Linked DNA regions of Rattus norvegicus. The protein of the gene in region 2 purifies or fractionates together with the protein of the main gene of each other region. This does not show direct contact. Links are inferred from orthologs where the notes say so. Each region holds a gene or a part of one and is shown on either strand. Other genes may lie near its edges.

The links.
Region 1: the proteins of Iqcb1 (region 2) and Cep290 purify together in Homo sapiens (co-immunoprecipitation; 8 studies listed by BioGRID and IntAct, counting the BioPlex papers as one, with this or other methods). This does not show direct contact. The link is inferred for Rattus norvegicus from reciprocal best matches to the Homo sapiens genes IQCB1 and CEP290.
Region 3: the proteins of Iqcb1 (region 2) and Exoc1 purify together in Homo sapiens (affinity purification with mass spectrometry; 3 studies listed by BioGRID and IntAct, counting the BioPlex papers as one, with this or other methods). This does not show direct contact. The link is inferred for Rattus norvegicus from reciprocal best matches to the Homo sapiens genes IQCB1 and EXOC1.

What each region holds. Positions count from the first base shown.
Region 1 is NC_086025.1:37,195,362-37,199,653, reverse strand, and holds the start of Cep290 (centrosomal protein of 290 kDa), read right to left. Parts: upstream 2,872-4,292; 5' UTR 2,700-2,871; intron 2,166-2,699; 5' UTR 2,138-2,165; coding exon 2,036-2,137; intron 1,881-2,035; coding exon 1,803-1,880; intron 1,116-1,802; coding exon 1,046-1,115; intron 248-1,045; coding exon 201-247; intron 1-200. UniProt on the Homo sapiens protein: Involved in early and late steps in cilia formation. Its association with CCP110 is required for inhibition of primary cilia formation by CCP110.
Region 2 is NC_086029.1:77,455,357-77,459,003, forward strand, and holds part of Iqcb1 (IQ calmodulin-binding motif-containing protein 1), read right to left. Parts: intron 1,602-3,647; coding exon 1,472-1,601; intron 1-1,471. UniProt on the Homo sapiens protein: Involved in ciliogenesis. The function in an early step in cilia formation depends on its association with CEP290/NPHP6.
Region 3 is NC_086032.1:32,011,257-32,015,557, reverse strand, and holds the start of Exoc1 (exocyst complex component 1), read left to right. Parts: upstream 1-1,430; 5' UTR 1,431-1,561; exon of another isoform or gene 1,562-1,775; intron 1,776-4,301.

The sequences.
Region 1 (4,292 bases), on a different chromosome or scaffold from region 2:
ATTAACCGTTTTTCCTTTTTTGATGCAGAATTCTTAGAATTCAAAGCACAAAAACACATTCTGTAAAATGAGTAAACTCTTGAGCACAAAGCCTTGTATTTTCCATCCCAGCAGTAGGAAAATTTGAAAATAATTTTAAATATTTTAATTAATAACAATTACAAGGAAATTCAAAAGCAAGAAAATACAAAAGGATATACCTCCAGTTCATTTTCCAGTTTCATTACTTTTGTCTTTAATTGATTTTCTATTAAAAAAAAACAACAACAAATGTTTCAATTGGTTAAATTTCCTGTAGTCAGACAGATGCTAAGTAAACTTCAATAAAATAGTACAATTCTCTGTAAAAGATTCCATCCTCTTATCAGATAATGTAAAGGAAAGTAATTATCATATACTAAATGCATAAACTATGCATTGTAGAAATGCCTCGATGTAGAGGGCAGAGGAAGACTTGAGTGCGTGAGGTCCTGAGTCAACGTGTACCTGCTGACACGGGCAAAGCCATGTCAGTAACTCAAAGTCTCAGGCCTATGGCAAATGGCAAAGCCTTCCCTCTGAGTCTGAGTGTGGATGTTGACAGAATCTGTAGAAAATATCCACCAGAGTTTGCTCCCTCTCATGGCTTTGACTCCGCTACAGAGACTACTCCTACTCAGATTAGCGAGCTCTGCCTCCCTGTTCAACTGTCTGCCAGCAATCCTGTCGCCTTGTTTATCTGTATGCCGTCACCTGACTTAATGTTCGGCCCTGCAACAACTCCACTACTCTGTTCAAGTGGATCGAATAAAGACACTGAGCTTCTGGGGTGTGGCAGCTTCTCCGTCAGTGAGCCCAGTGCGACCGAATCCAACTGTTCTGTGTGTCTGTGTTTTCTCTTCTTCAGCCCCTACCTCAGCACTCAGGTCAGTCCCTGGAACTGGGCAAGGATGTAGCCTCTTCCAATATGAATTGAATGCACACTTTATAGAATCTGATAAACTTCCAACCATCTAATAAATAGAACCACAGTAGTTTGGTTTTTTTTTTTGTCCTAGACGTTTACCAAATTTTGCTTGTTCTTCCCCAGCCTTTTCAACTTCTTCCAAGGCCAGCTCCACTTCTTGAGCTTTCATCTGAACATTAAAACAAGAGGGGGGGATCCGGGGTTATTTACGCTGCAATATAAACAGTGGAAATCGAAATGGTGTGAAATTCGCTATCTCAGTCTTTAGTGTGTGCAGTGACGGGCGCAGAGAGTCAGTCAGTAAGTAGTTGTTAACTAAATACTTAAGGCTAGAAATTCTAGAGGGGCAAGACTTTGAACCTGATTTTTCTGTTAAGTATATCCACTATTCTCAATGTTTTCATTATCTTTTTCTATCCCAATTGTTATTATTAATAAATGTATTAATCTCTTCTTATAATTGGAGCTAATCAGCTCTAATCCCTTCCATCTATACAATACATTTAATTTTCCTTCATAAGCATATTTCTATATTGGCCAACTATGATTCAAAAATCCTTTATTCGTTTCTAAAGTGCTAAGAGCCAAAATATGCCCTCAAATCCTTGGACAGTATACCCTAAACTACCAACCCAAAATCTGTTTAGACCCTACAAATTTTCTATGTGCTTTTACCTTAACGGAACGAATTAATACATATTCTTTCTCAGTATTTATTTATAAAGAATCTAGAATCCTGTCATTTCACAATTAGCTTTTAGGGGAAAGGTTTTGCATTTTATTTGACCCCCTGGTTATATTTCTTTATGTTACTCTTAAAAAAAGTTTCTTTTCCTACACACTCTTTCCCACAAACCTTCATTAGTGACTGAGTAATTCTGAACAGATGTATCATGTTTTCTTGATCTTCATTTTTTAGTTCATTTACTTCCACCTAAGGAAACAAACACACAAAATACATGGACTATTTCATACCCTGTGCATAAAATACAATCACTCTTCCGCTTATAGCGTTCAATTACTTGAAGAAGCAATTTCTATTCGTGACATTGTACCTCAGGATCTGTGTACAAATCATGTATTAAGTACCTTGGATAAGGATATCAATAATTTATCTGCCAACTCTTCTTGACGTGGCAGTTCATCTGGATCAACTTTGATTAATTCTTTCCATTTTATATTAGGTGGCATCTTGAATTCTTTCACTGCCTCTCAGTTCCTACAACAAAGCAGATGGATTTCAGCATTTTCAGGGAAGATGGCATTTGCAGTGTTTACATGATCATGATCGTTCTAACTTAACTCCCTAGGTGCTGGCTGAGAGCTATGGCTCCTGAACCGAAAAACAGATGCATAGGCAAACAGCCAAGATGAGAATTAGTTCACCTGTCACAGACTATACGATCATACACATGCTAAATTATTATTTCTTTGCTAAAACAAAATCGGAGCTAAAACCCCGAGTCCCCTTTTCCAAGTCCCTTATCATCAATGATGGTACCAACTCTCAAGATATTTGGAAGTTTTTGAATACCTCCTCCGATTCTGAGGACAGGGGACGAGAGGATTTTTAAAGTGGATAAATAAAGACTGAGCTAAATGAAGTGTGCGCGGAACCAAGCTCAAACACGGAGGCAGAGGCACTGCGGAAAAGAGCGATAGAAGGACTGGGTAGGTAGGCTGCACGCTGTCCCCCAGGATTATGAACCTGTGACCGACACTAAGCTGCTCCGGCTCACGAGAATCCACCCACCTAAACCAAGACGGGCAAAACAGCAGCAGTCACTCATCTACAGCGATCACGTCCGGGTTCGGCCACCGCCTGGGCCTCTCGCTTCCAATAGCTGTCCTCGCGCACTCAAGCTGCTCCCGCCAACTCTTCCCAAACAAGCCGAAGCGGCGCCGGCTGCTAGGCGACACCACTCCCCGCCCAGCCAGCCAAGGCCGGAACTAGGCCCCGGATACCAGGGAAGACTACATTTCACGACTGGGGGAAAAGCTTTACGGCTATGTTTCCCCCTCCAAGACCTTTTTTCACTGTGGATGAGGGAAAGCCGTGAGAAGAGGACTCTACGTCCCAGAGTGCAGTTCGGCGCTGCGGCTGTGCATACTGGGATTAGAAGTTTTGGGAAGAGCAGCGCGTTCCCGGCGTGCAATGCGAGAGGCTGCGGCCGCCCTGGAAGAGCTGGGGAAGGATCGGGAGGCGGGAGGAGCGGCTGCTAAGGTGCGGCCGCCCAGGAGCCGGAGCGTGGCGGACTATGACAGTGTTTTCTGCAGAGTCCTTCTCCGGTCCACCGTCTCCGAAGCTTTCCTGAACCATCTCTTGGCGGAGCCGCCCTCAGGTGAGGTCGGGGCGGGTCACTCAGCGGCCGGGAGGAGCTCAGGGAACATTTGCGTTTTAGGGAAGCTCTGTTTTGGGGCTGCTGGAGCGCCGGCGGATCTTACAGAGGTGAGAAAGTCTTCCAGCTACTCAGGTGTATGCTGGGGGCTCCCAGTTAGTGGCTTCCGTAAGAAGGGAGTGAATAAAAGTTTCCAGCTTCCCTAAGTGTCTGGGAAAGTGGAGCGCCCCCACCCCCACCCCCTGAGTTCATGCTCTGGTTGAGTGGAGGAGCATCAGGATGGACAGCCTCCTGCTGCAGCTTGCTTATTAGGTTAAGAAGTGTGAAGTGAAGGCCGAAGAAAGGGGAGGCTTAGTGCGTGACCAGCCCTGCTGGAGGGAGGAAGAAGGGCCATGCCAAGCTCTGGCATTTTGCTGTCATTTGCTGGGTACCAAGGGGGGTTCTTGGGTGAAAGCACCTTCTCGGATGTTTGCCTTCTTACTCTAGGAACTTTTTCCAATTCCACAGTCATTCTACACCAGCAGGTAACATTAGGAGCTGTAAACTTCTGTTTGAAACAGTGTGTCTCATATGTGCTTATGTATGTATAAATGGGTATATAGAGTAATTGTATGTATCATACATAATAGATAATAAGTAATTAAAAGAAAAATGTAGACAGTTAAAATTTGCTTTTGAAAAGATTTCTGTGGTTGTGAAAAACAAATAGCGCAAAAAAAAATGATATTTGAAACAAATTTTAAAGACATCATCAGATTTGTAGGCCTGTTTCTTCCCCCAAATACTGTTGTTTTGGAATTATTCTTGATAGAGGGACAGCAAAATGTGTGCTTACGTGTCCTCATTGTCCATGTAAGAGATTGGAGCTTGGAGAGGTTAAACACTATTTTCTCATTTAATGTAATGAACACATTCATTCATTCTACAAACTAATGCTTGTGAAATGTGTGAGATAGTTGCACTTCCCTCTTGAATTTTACTTGTATTTTACGCATTTTAATTTTATA
Region 2 (3,647 bases):
GCTGAAATTTAGGTTATTACTATTTTTGACTATTGTAAATAGTGATGCAATAAACATGTTTTGATAATAATCTCTCTTCTTTTAAATAAATATAAGTCCAACAATGTAATACTGAACTATCACATATAATAAAAAAATCTTAAGAGTGAAATCAAGGAGGTGGAGAGATGGCTTAGTGGTTAAGATCACTGGCTGCTCTTTCAGAAGACCTGGATTTGATTCCCAACACCTGCAAAGATGAGAAGTCTTTGAAATTCAAGTTGAAATCTGAGTTCTCTGCTGTACCATTCTAGCTTAATGTAACTGACTGAAAAAGAATTAAAGATGAAGAAATTCTCAACTTCTGGTCCTATTCCTACTCTCAAAGTTAGGACTGAGGACTGAGCAAAAATGCACTCAAGGCCTGACTGTGAGAACAGTTAGATAATCTTGAAGACAATCACTTAAGGTCAAGTCAAGCTGTTAGGGGAAGAATGGGCACCATAAATGGGAAATTGATAAGCTAGTTATATAATTGATCTAGTTATCCACAAGAATGGAAGCAGAAGCTGCCAATACCAACCAATAAACTCCTAATGACTTCTCATTTGGCCGATTTTTTACTTAGACAGCAAACAGTACAAGCTACATGTTCTAAACTATCAAATATGTATACAAAATAGCTCTAACAGGTTTGGACATTTAAGAGTGGCAGAACACAAGGTCTTCAAAAATTTGCTTCTGAAAAGATCCTATTACAAATTCAAAAAATAATATGGCATCTGCTGCTGTTCTAGGTGTGGTCACAGATTCCATTTCAAAGTCTGATGTACTGATGTGGCACTTCTTTAGAGAAACTAGACTAAATGCAGAACATTTTTGAATTATTTTTCACCATGCTCTCCTCTTCCTTCCTCCCCTCCCATCCTCTCTCTTTCTCTGTATATAAACATTACATAAAACATAAAAGTATCAAAAATATTATATAGTTCCCTTAAAGTAAGTACAACTTTATATGTCAATTAAAAAATAAAAGCTACGGTCTAACTATCCCCAAGTGTCAGAAATTTGGTCTGGAGAGAAGTGATGCCATGGATATAAGTATATATGTATGTTGCCTCAAATTAAGTGGTAATACAAACTCTTCAAAATCATACAGTATTCTTTAGCTAACATTTACATTTTATAATGTAAAGACTAAGTTCTTGGTTGTAATTTTTGGGTAAAGATGTTTAAATTTACTACTCTACTTGTGTGTTCAGCCACATATAGCATATTTGAAAAATGACAGGGGACAACTTAGGGAGGGATAAATATGGTGCACATTCTTGTAATCCCAGTGCTGAGGAGGCTGAGGCAAAAGGGCTGAGACTCTCGAGACCTGCAAAGCTATAAATTGAATATGAAGCTAGCCTGGGCTAAACAGTGGAACTTTGTTTCAGGAGAAAAAAAAGAATGAAAATTATTTGGCCATACAACACTAAATACATACCTTAGTTGCATTGATAAAACATGTTTGCAATCGTCTTCCCAGGACAAGAAAATTTTCGGCAGCTGATGGAAGTAATTCCTTGTAAAATTCTTCTCCATCTTCTCCTGGCTCTAATCCCACACAGCAATGGCTGACATAAGAGAACAATTTTGCGTTAATAAATAAATATCATTTGAATATTCAAACTTCCATAGGCATGGTACCTTAATGAGTCTCATCAGTGTCATTCTTTTGTTGACAAGCCAATTAAGTAAATTTCAGCTTTCTAGGGAACTAGACTGTGAAATGGACCTTGCTTGCATTTTAGTTCCAGGTTCACATATCCTAAAAACAAATATGCTGGCTCTGTAAGAAATGAAAGATGTGCCCAGGTGATGGTGTATGCCTTTAATCCCACACCCTAGAAAGCAAATACAGAAAGATCTCTGTGAGTTCAAGGCCAACTGACTTGGTTTACAAAGTCAGTTCCAGATCAGTCAAGTTTACACAGTAAGACCCAGTCTAAAAAGAACAAAAACCAAACATCAGAAAGAAAGAGGTCAAGGGAAGGGAGAGAGGGAGGGAGGGAGACAGAGAGGGAAGGAGGGAAGACAAAGTGAAGAGAGAGAAGGAAAGAGAATAAAATAACATGAAAGACACTTGGTTTACAATCAAGAAGCCAAATCCAAGAACAAATCAAAATGATCGTCCATCATGATCAGGCAGGCTTCATCCCAGGGATGCAGGGATGGTTCACTATATGGAAGTCCATCAACATAATCAACTACATAAACAAACTCAAAGAAAAAAAACCCACATGATCATCTCACTAGATGCTGAGAAAGCATTTGACAAAATTCAACACCCCTTCATGGTAAAAGTCTTAGAAAGATCAGGAATTCAAGGCCCATACCTAAACATAGTAAAAGCAATATGCAGCCAACCAGTAGCCAACATCAAACTAAATGGAGAGAAACTTGAAGCAATCCCACTAAAATCGGGGATTAGACAAGGCTGCCCACTTTCTCCCTACCTACTCAATATAGTACTTGAAATCCTAGCCAGAGCAATCAGACAACAAAAGGAGATCAAAGGGATACAAATTGGAAAGGAAGAAGTCAAAATACCACTGTTTGTAGATAATATGATAGTATACTTAAGTGACCCCAAAAAATTCCACCAGAGAACTCCTAAACCTGATAAACAACTTCAGAAAAGTGGTAGCAATATAAAATTAATTCAAACAAATCAGTAGCCTTCCCCTATTCAAAGGATAAACAGGTTGAGACAGAAATTAGGGAAACAACACCCTTCACAATAGTTAAAAATAATATAAAATACCTCGGTGTGACAATAACTTCAAGTCTCTGAAGAATGGAATTGAAGATCTCAGAAGATGAAAAGACCTCCCATGCTCATGGATTGGCAGGATTAATATTGTAAAAGTGGTCATTTTGCCAAAAGTTATCTACAGATTCAATGCAATCCCCATCAAAATTCATACTCAATTCTTCATAGAGTTCGAAAGAGCAATTTGCAAATTCATTTAGAATAACAAAAAACCTAGGATAGCTAAAACTACCCTCAACAATAAAGGAACTGGGGGTGGGGGAGATTACTATTCCTGACCTCAAGCTGTATTACACAGCAATAGTGGTAAAAACTATATAGTATTGGTACAAAGACAGGCAGGTGGATCAATGGAAAAGAACTGAAGACCCAGAAATGAACCCACACACCTATGGTCACTTGATCTTTAAAAAAAGGAGCTAAAAACCATACAGTGGAAAAAAGATAGCATTATCAACAAATGGTGCTGATTCAACTGGAGGTCAGCATGTATTAGAATGCAAATCAATCCATTCTTATCACCCTGTACATAGTTCAAGTTCAAGTGGATCAAGGACCTCCACATAAAACCAGATACACTCAAACTATTAGAAGAAAAAGTGGGAAAGAGCCTTGAACACATGGGTACTAGGGAAGTTTTCCTGAACAAAACACCAATGGCTTATGTTCTAAGATCAAGAATCGACAAGTGGGACTTCATAAAATTGCAAAGCTTCTGTAAGGCAAAGAATACTGTCAACCAACAGATTGGGAAAAGATCTTTACCAATCCTACATCAGATAAAGGGCTAATATCCAATATATACAAAGAACTCAAGAAGTTAGACTCCAGAGAATCAAATAACTCT
Region 3 (4,301 bases), on a different chromosome or scaffold from region 2:
ATGTCCCAGGGTGGGTTGGGATCCAAGGGGGTCTTCCCCCTTCTCAGAGAAGGGGAGAATAAGGGAGAGACTTGGAGGTGGGGAATGAAAGGAGGGGCAGGCTGTGATTGGCATGTAAAGTGAATAAATAAATTAATGAGAAAAAACAGCAAAGAAGAGGGGTAAGGGGAGGGCGAGAGAGGGAGGGGGAAGGGGAGAAGGAGAAGGAGGGGGAGGAGGAAGAGGAAAAGGAGGAGGAGGAGAAGGAGAGGAGGAGGAGGAGAAGGAGGAGGAGAAGGAAGAGGAGGAGAGGAGGAGGAAGAGGAGGGGAGGGGAGGAAGAGGAGGAGGAAGAGGAGGAGGAAGAGGAGGAGGAAGAGGAAGAGGAGGAGGAAGAGAAGGAGAGGAGGAGGAAGAGGAGGAGAGGAGGAGGAGGAGGAGGAGGAGGAGGAGGAGATGATCATCCTGGTAGAGTATGTTATCCTGCCTTCGCAATCACCTTTTCTAGTTCTACCTCATTATGAACTCATTCAGTATAGAATTAAAGCTTGAATGGCCTTTGTACCTGGAAATCAAAGTTCCCAGCACTCAATCCCTGCCAGGGATGTGGCCTAAATGAATCACTTGTCTTATAGCTCACAATCTTGGCATCATTCATGCCTCTCACACTGAAACAAGTATCACCTTTAAAACAAAGATTCTGTTTCAGTATCTGATGTGAGCCGGCGGGTGCAGTTTCTAAAAAGCACCCAGGAAGGTCTGCGCAGTCCGCCCGGTAGAGTATGAAGTGCGTAAGTGACATGGTTCTAGACCTAAACACGTTATGGGAATTAAGTGGGGAGAAATTAAGGATACTAGTGATGTCTAGGTTCCTCTCCCAGAGATTCTGACTTAACTCATTGAAGTGCTCCGAAGAATCTAGAGTTAACAGGATTTTACATATGCAAAGGAGAAAACATTTAATGAGCTCTCAAATGATTTGCCACAAATATCAGAATGGGTACATCTAGAAAAAGAAAATACCACCATTATCAACTCCTCTAATCAGTGGTTATCTATGCTAGTGGTTCTCAACTTTCCTAATGCTGCAACCCTTTAATACATTTCCTCATGCTGCAGTGGGTCCCAACCATTAAACTATTTCATTTCTATTTTATAACTGTAATTTTGCTGCTGTTATCAATTGTAATGTAAATATCTGATATATGGGATATCTGATATGTGACCCCTATGAAGGGATCATTTGACCGCGAAAGACCCACAGGTTGAGAACCACCAGTCTACGAGCTTGCGGGTTCGGTCCTTGCCTTTTCCACGCCCACTGTCTGGCCCGGTCCCACCCATCAAGGCAACGTTCGACCTCCTCCAAGTCCATTGGTCAATCTGTTCCCTTCCATTGTCTCCGTTTCCGGCTCCACAAGATCAACTTCCGGTACAGAGCGGCACGTGACCGGATACGGGAAGTGGCGGCTTCTGGCCGCTTCTTTTCCCAGCTCAATGAAAAGCGTTTCATAGCTGCTCTTGCTGCCGGCGCCCTTGTAGAGTCCGTCTTGGAGCACCAACCTCGGCCGGCCGGCCTCGCGGTAAGCTTCCGGCCGGGGACCGGCGGTCCTGGAGGTGGTAGCCTAAGTGGAGGCAGTGTTCAATCTGCGTCAGGTCGGCCACTCCCAAGTGACACGGCCCACCCACCCTGCTGCCCTCCAGGGCTGCAGAACCGCTGCTGCAGAGCCCGGACTGAGTCCTTACTTCTTCCTGTCCTGGGCTCTGGGAGAAGACGGAGCCCGGAGGCAGCCTAGGGTCAGTCCTCAGTTCCGCCCATCCGGGACAGATTTCATTTTTGCCAAATTAGCGTGGTTTGGGAGAGGAGAACGTGACCTGGCTTCTGCCGGTCCAAATCAACAAATATGTCCTTATAAATCTTAAAAGGGCGTTGCCCAGCCTCTGAGCAGTTTTCGTTTTTTGGATGACAAGTCTTGAGATGTCACTGCAGTAGATGGGCCCAACCCACTAAGGCACTTGCACTGACACACAGTGTAATGATGGCCCTATCAAGGTGCAGGAAGTAAGATACGCGATGAACAGAGGTTAGCTGCCTCTGTAACGGGCAGCCTTGAGGTTTTAGAAGGCGAAGAACTAAAGAGAACCCAGAATATGGGCGTGGGTTTTAGACTTGGTAAATAGTTGTGAAGGCCACTATTAATAATACTGGCATAATATAAAGTTCTGTATAAACATTGGAGAATTCATCACTAACCCCAAAGAAGACTGACTGTTACAATTCTACATCATCCCATTCATGTCTTTCAGATTCTCCACTATACCCCCAGAGTGCTACCTGGCACTTAGTGAATAGTAATATTTGTTGAATTACGTCTAATTTCTTTTATGAGTTATAACCAGTCCTCTGCTGTTTGGCTGTTTACCATGCACGGAGTCTTTAGTATGGTGAATATTGGCCTGAGTTAATTGTTCTGTTTACCAGTTTTTACTGTTTCAATAAAACAGGTTACACCAAGAGGTTGTAGTAAGTACCCAACACACAAACCTGTGTTAGAGCACCCTCCCTCCTCCTCTTCCTCCTCCTCCTCCTCCTCCTCCTCCTCTTCCTCCTCTTCCTCCTCTTCCTCCTCCTCTTCCTCTTCTTCCTCTTCCTCCTCCTCCTCCTCTTCTTCCTCCTCCTCTTCTTCCTCCTCCTCCTCCCAAGAGATGACTGTGGAGACCTAGGAGATGATACTCATGTCCCCATTAGATAGCAAGCACTTGTCTCGTAAATACAGTAAGTGCTCTAGACATTTGCATGGGAAGAGCAATGAGGATTAAGACTTTTACTGAGTCAGCTTCATCCAAATGGAGAAATGTACGTTTGAATAGGGAAAAGATAATCTGGCCTGCATGGGAAAGTGCTTAACCAAAGATTTCAAGTCAGAAACAACACAGTGCTTTGAATGCAAGGCATGGCTTGAGAACAGTGGTATAATGAGGACTGGTTTAAAGTTATTTACTAGTTTTTCAGGGAACTTGTAGAAACTTTAAAAAAAGAAAAAGGTAACAGGTGCTATTACTTAAAGGCAGTAAATCTTGGTTGCTTGGTAGCCAGATGGGGGAAAAGTAAATTATATGTAGATGGAGAAGTCACTGCGTACGCTAACAGATTTCACGTTGGCATGGAGGAAGCAATGAACTAGGGCAGAGTTTGAGTCTGGGTTGTTTTCTTATAGATTCAAAAGTTGGAAAGAGGTAACTTGGAGGGAACTATCCCTGGTCTGTTGTTGAGTGCAACAGTATTTCCCTAAATGTTTACTAAGCACTCGCTGTGTGCCTCGTGGCAAATGCTAGGAATATAAAGATGGATAAGATGAGATCCTTGCCGAGAGAGAACTGCTTTTAGTAGGGTCTAGAGTGCACTAGCTAGAAAACACTGGTTGGAGAGCTGCTGCCAGTAGAGGTAAGCTGGGGAACAGAAGAGGAGGAAGGCTTCAAAGAAGATGCAGTGTGTTATCAGAATGGTTGAGGGTGAGTTGGAATTTGCAGTGACAAGAATTTCAGAATGAGGAAAATAGTGAACAAAGCCCAGAGACAGTACAGTAAACTGCAGTGTCCACTTGAGTTTGAGGATAGGATAGAGTATCGCTTTAATGTCACACCTGGGCCCTAGGGCACATTAAGGGGTGTGCCACAAGCTAGAGTCATCTGAAAGAAGGAAACCGCCATTGAGAAAATGCCCCCGTAAGATCCAGCTGAAGGGCATTTTTTAAATCCGTGGTTGACGGGGGCTGGATCATAACAGCAGTTGCATGCCTGACTTGCAGAAGGGACTGCAGGACTGTTCTAAAGCCTCCCTGCCATTTGTGATCCTCCCAGCTGGGTGGGGGAGGCCCCTTCCTCATTGCTTACTGCTGTGTGTCCTGTGGGTTTTTAGCCTTCCCAGCAGTTGAAAGTAGGATTCTTGCCGCAGATGTCAGTCGTATTTCCCAAGTGGTTGATGGTATGAAACCTTTTGGGTTTCTGGTGTGCATCTTTGCAATAGGCAAAGGGCGGCTGCACATGTTTTTCCTTAGCACCATCCACGCCCCCTTTTCTTGTGCGTGGTCTCTCACCAGATTGGCGCTCCAACCATAGGTGAAGTTGTCTGCTCAGTGCACTCCAGGGATCTGCTTGTCTCTGCCTCCCCAGCATGAGGTTGCAGGCAGGCTTCCCCATGCACTGCTTGTTAAATGAGTTCTGGAAACTAACAAGATTGGACTTGTGTCCTCCAATTACTAGGAAACACTTTTCCAACAGAGCTGTCGCCCCAGCTCTATACCGAACATTTTTTCTATATTT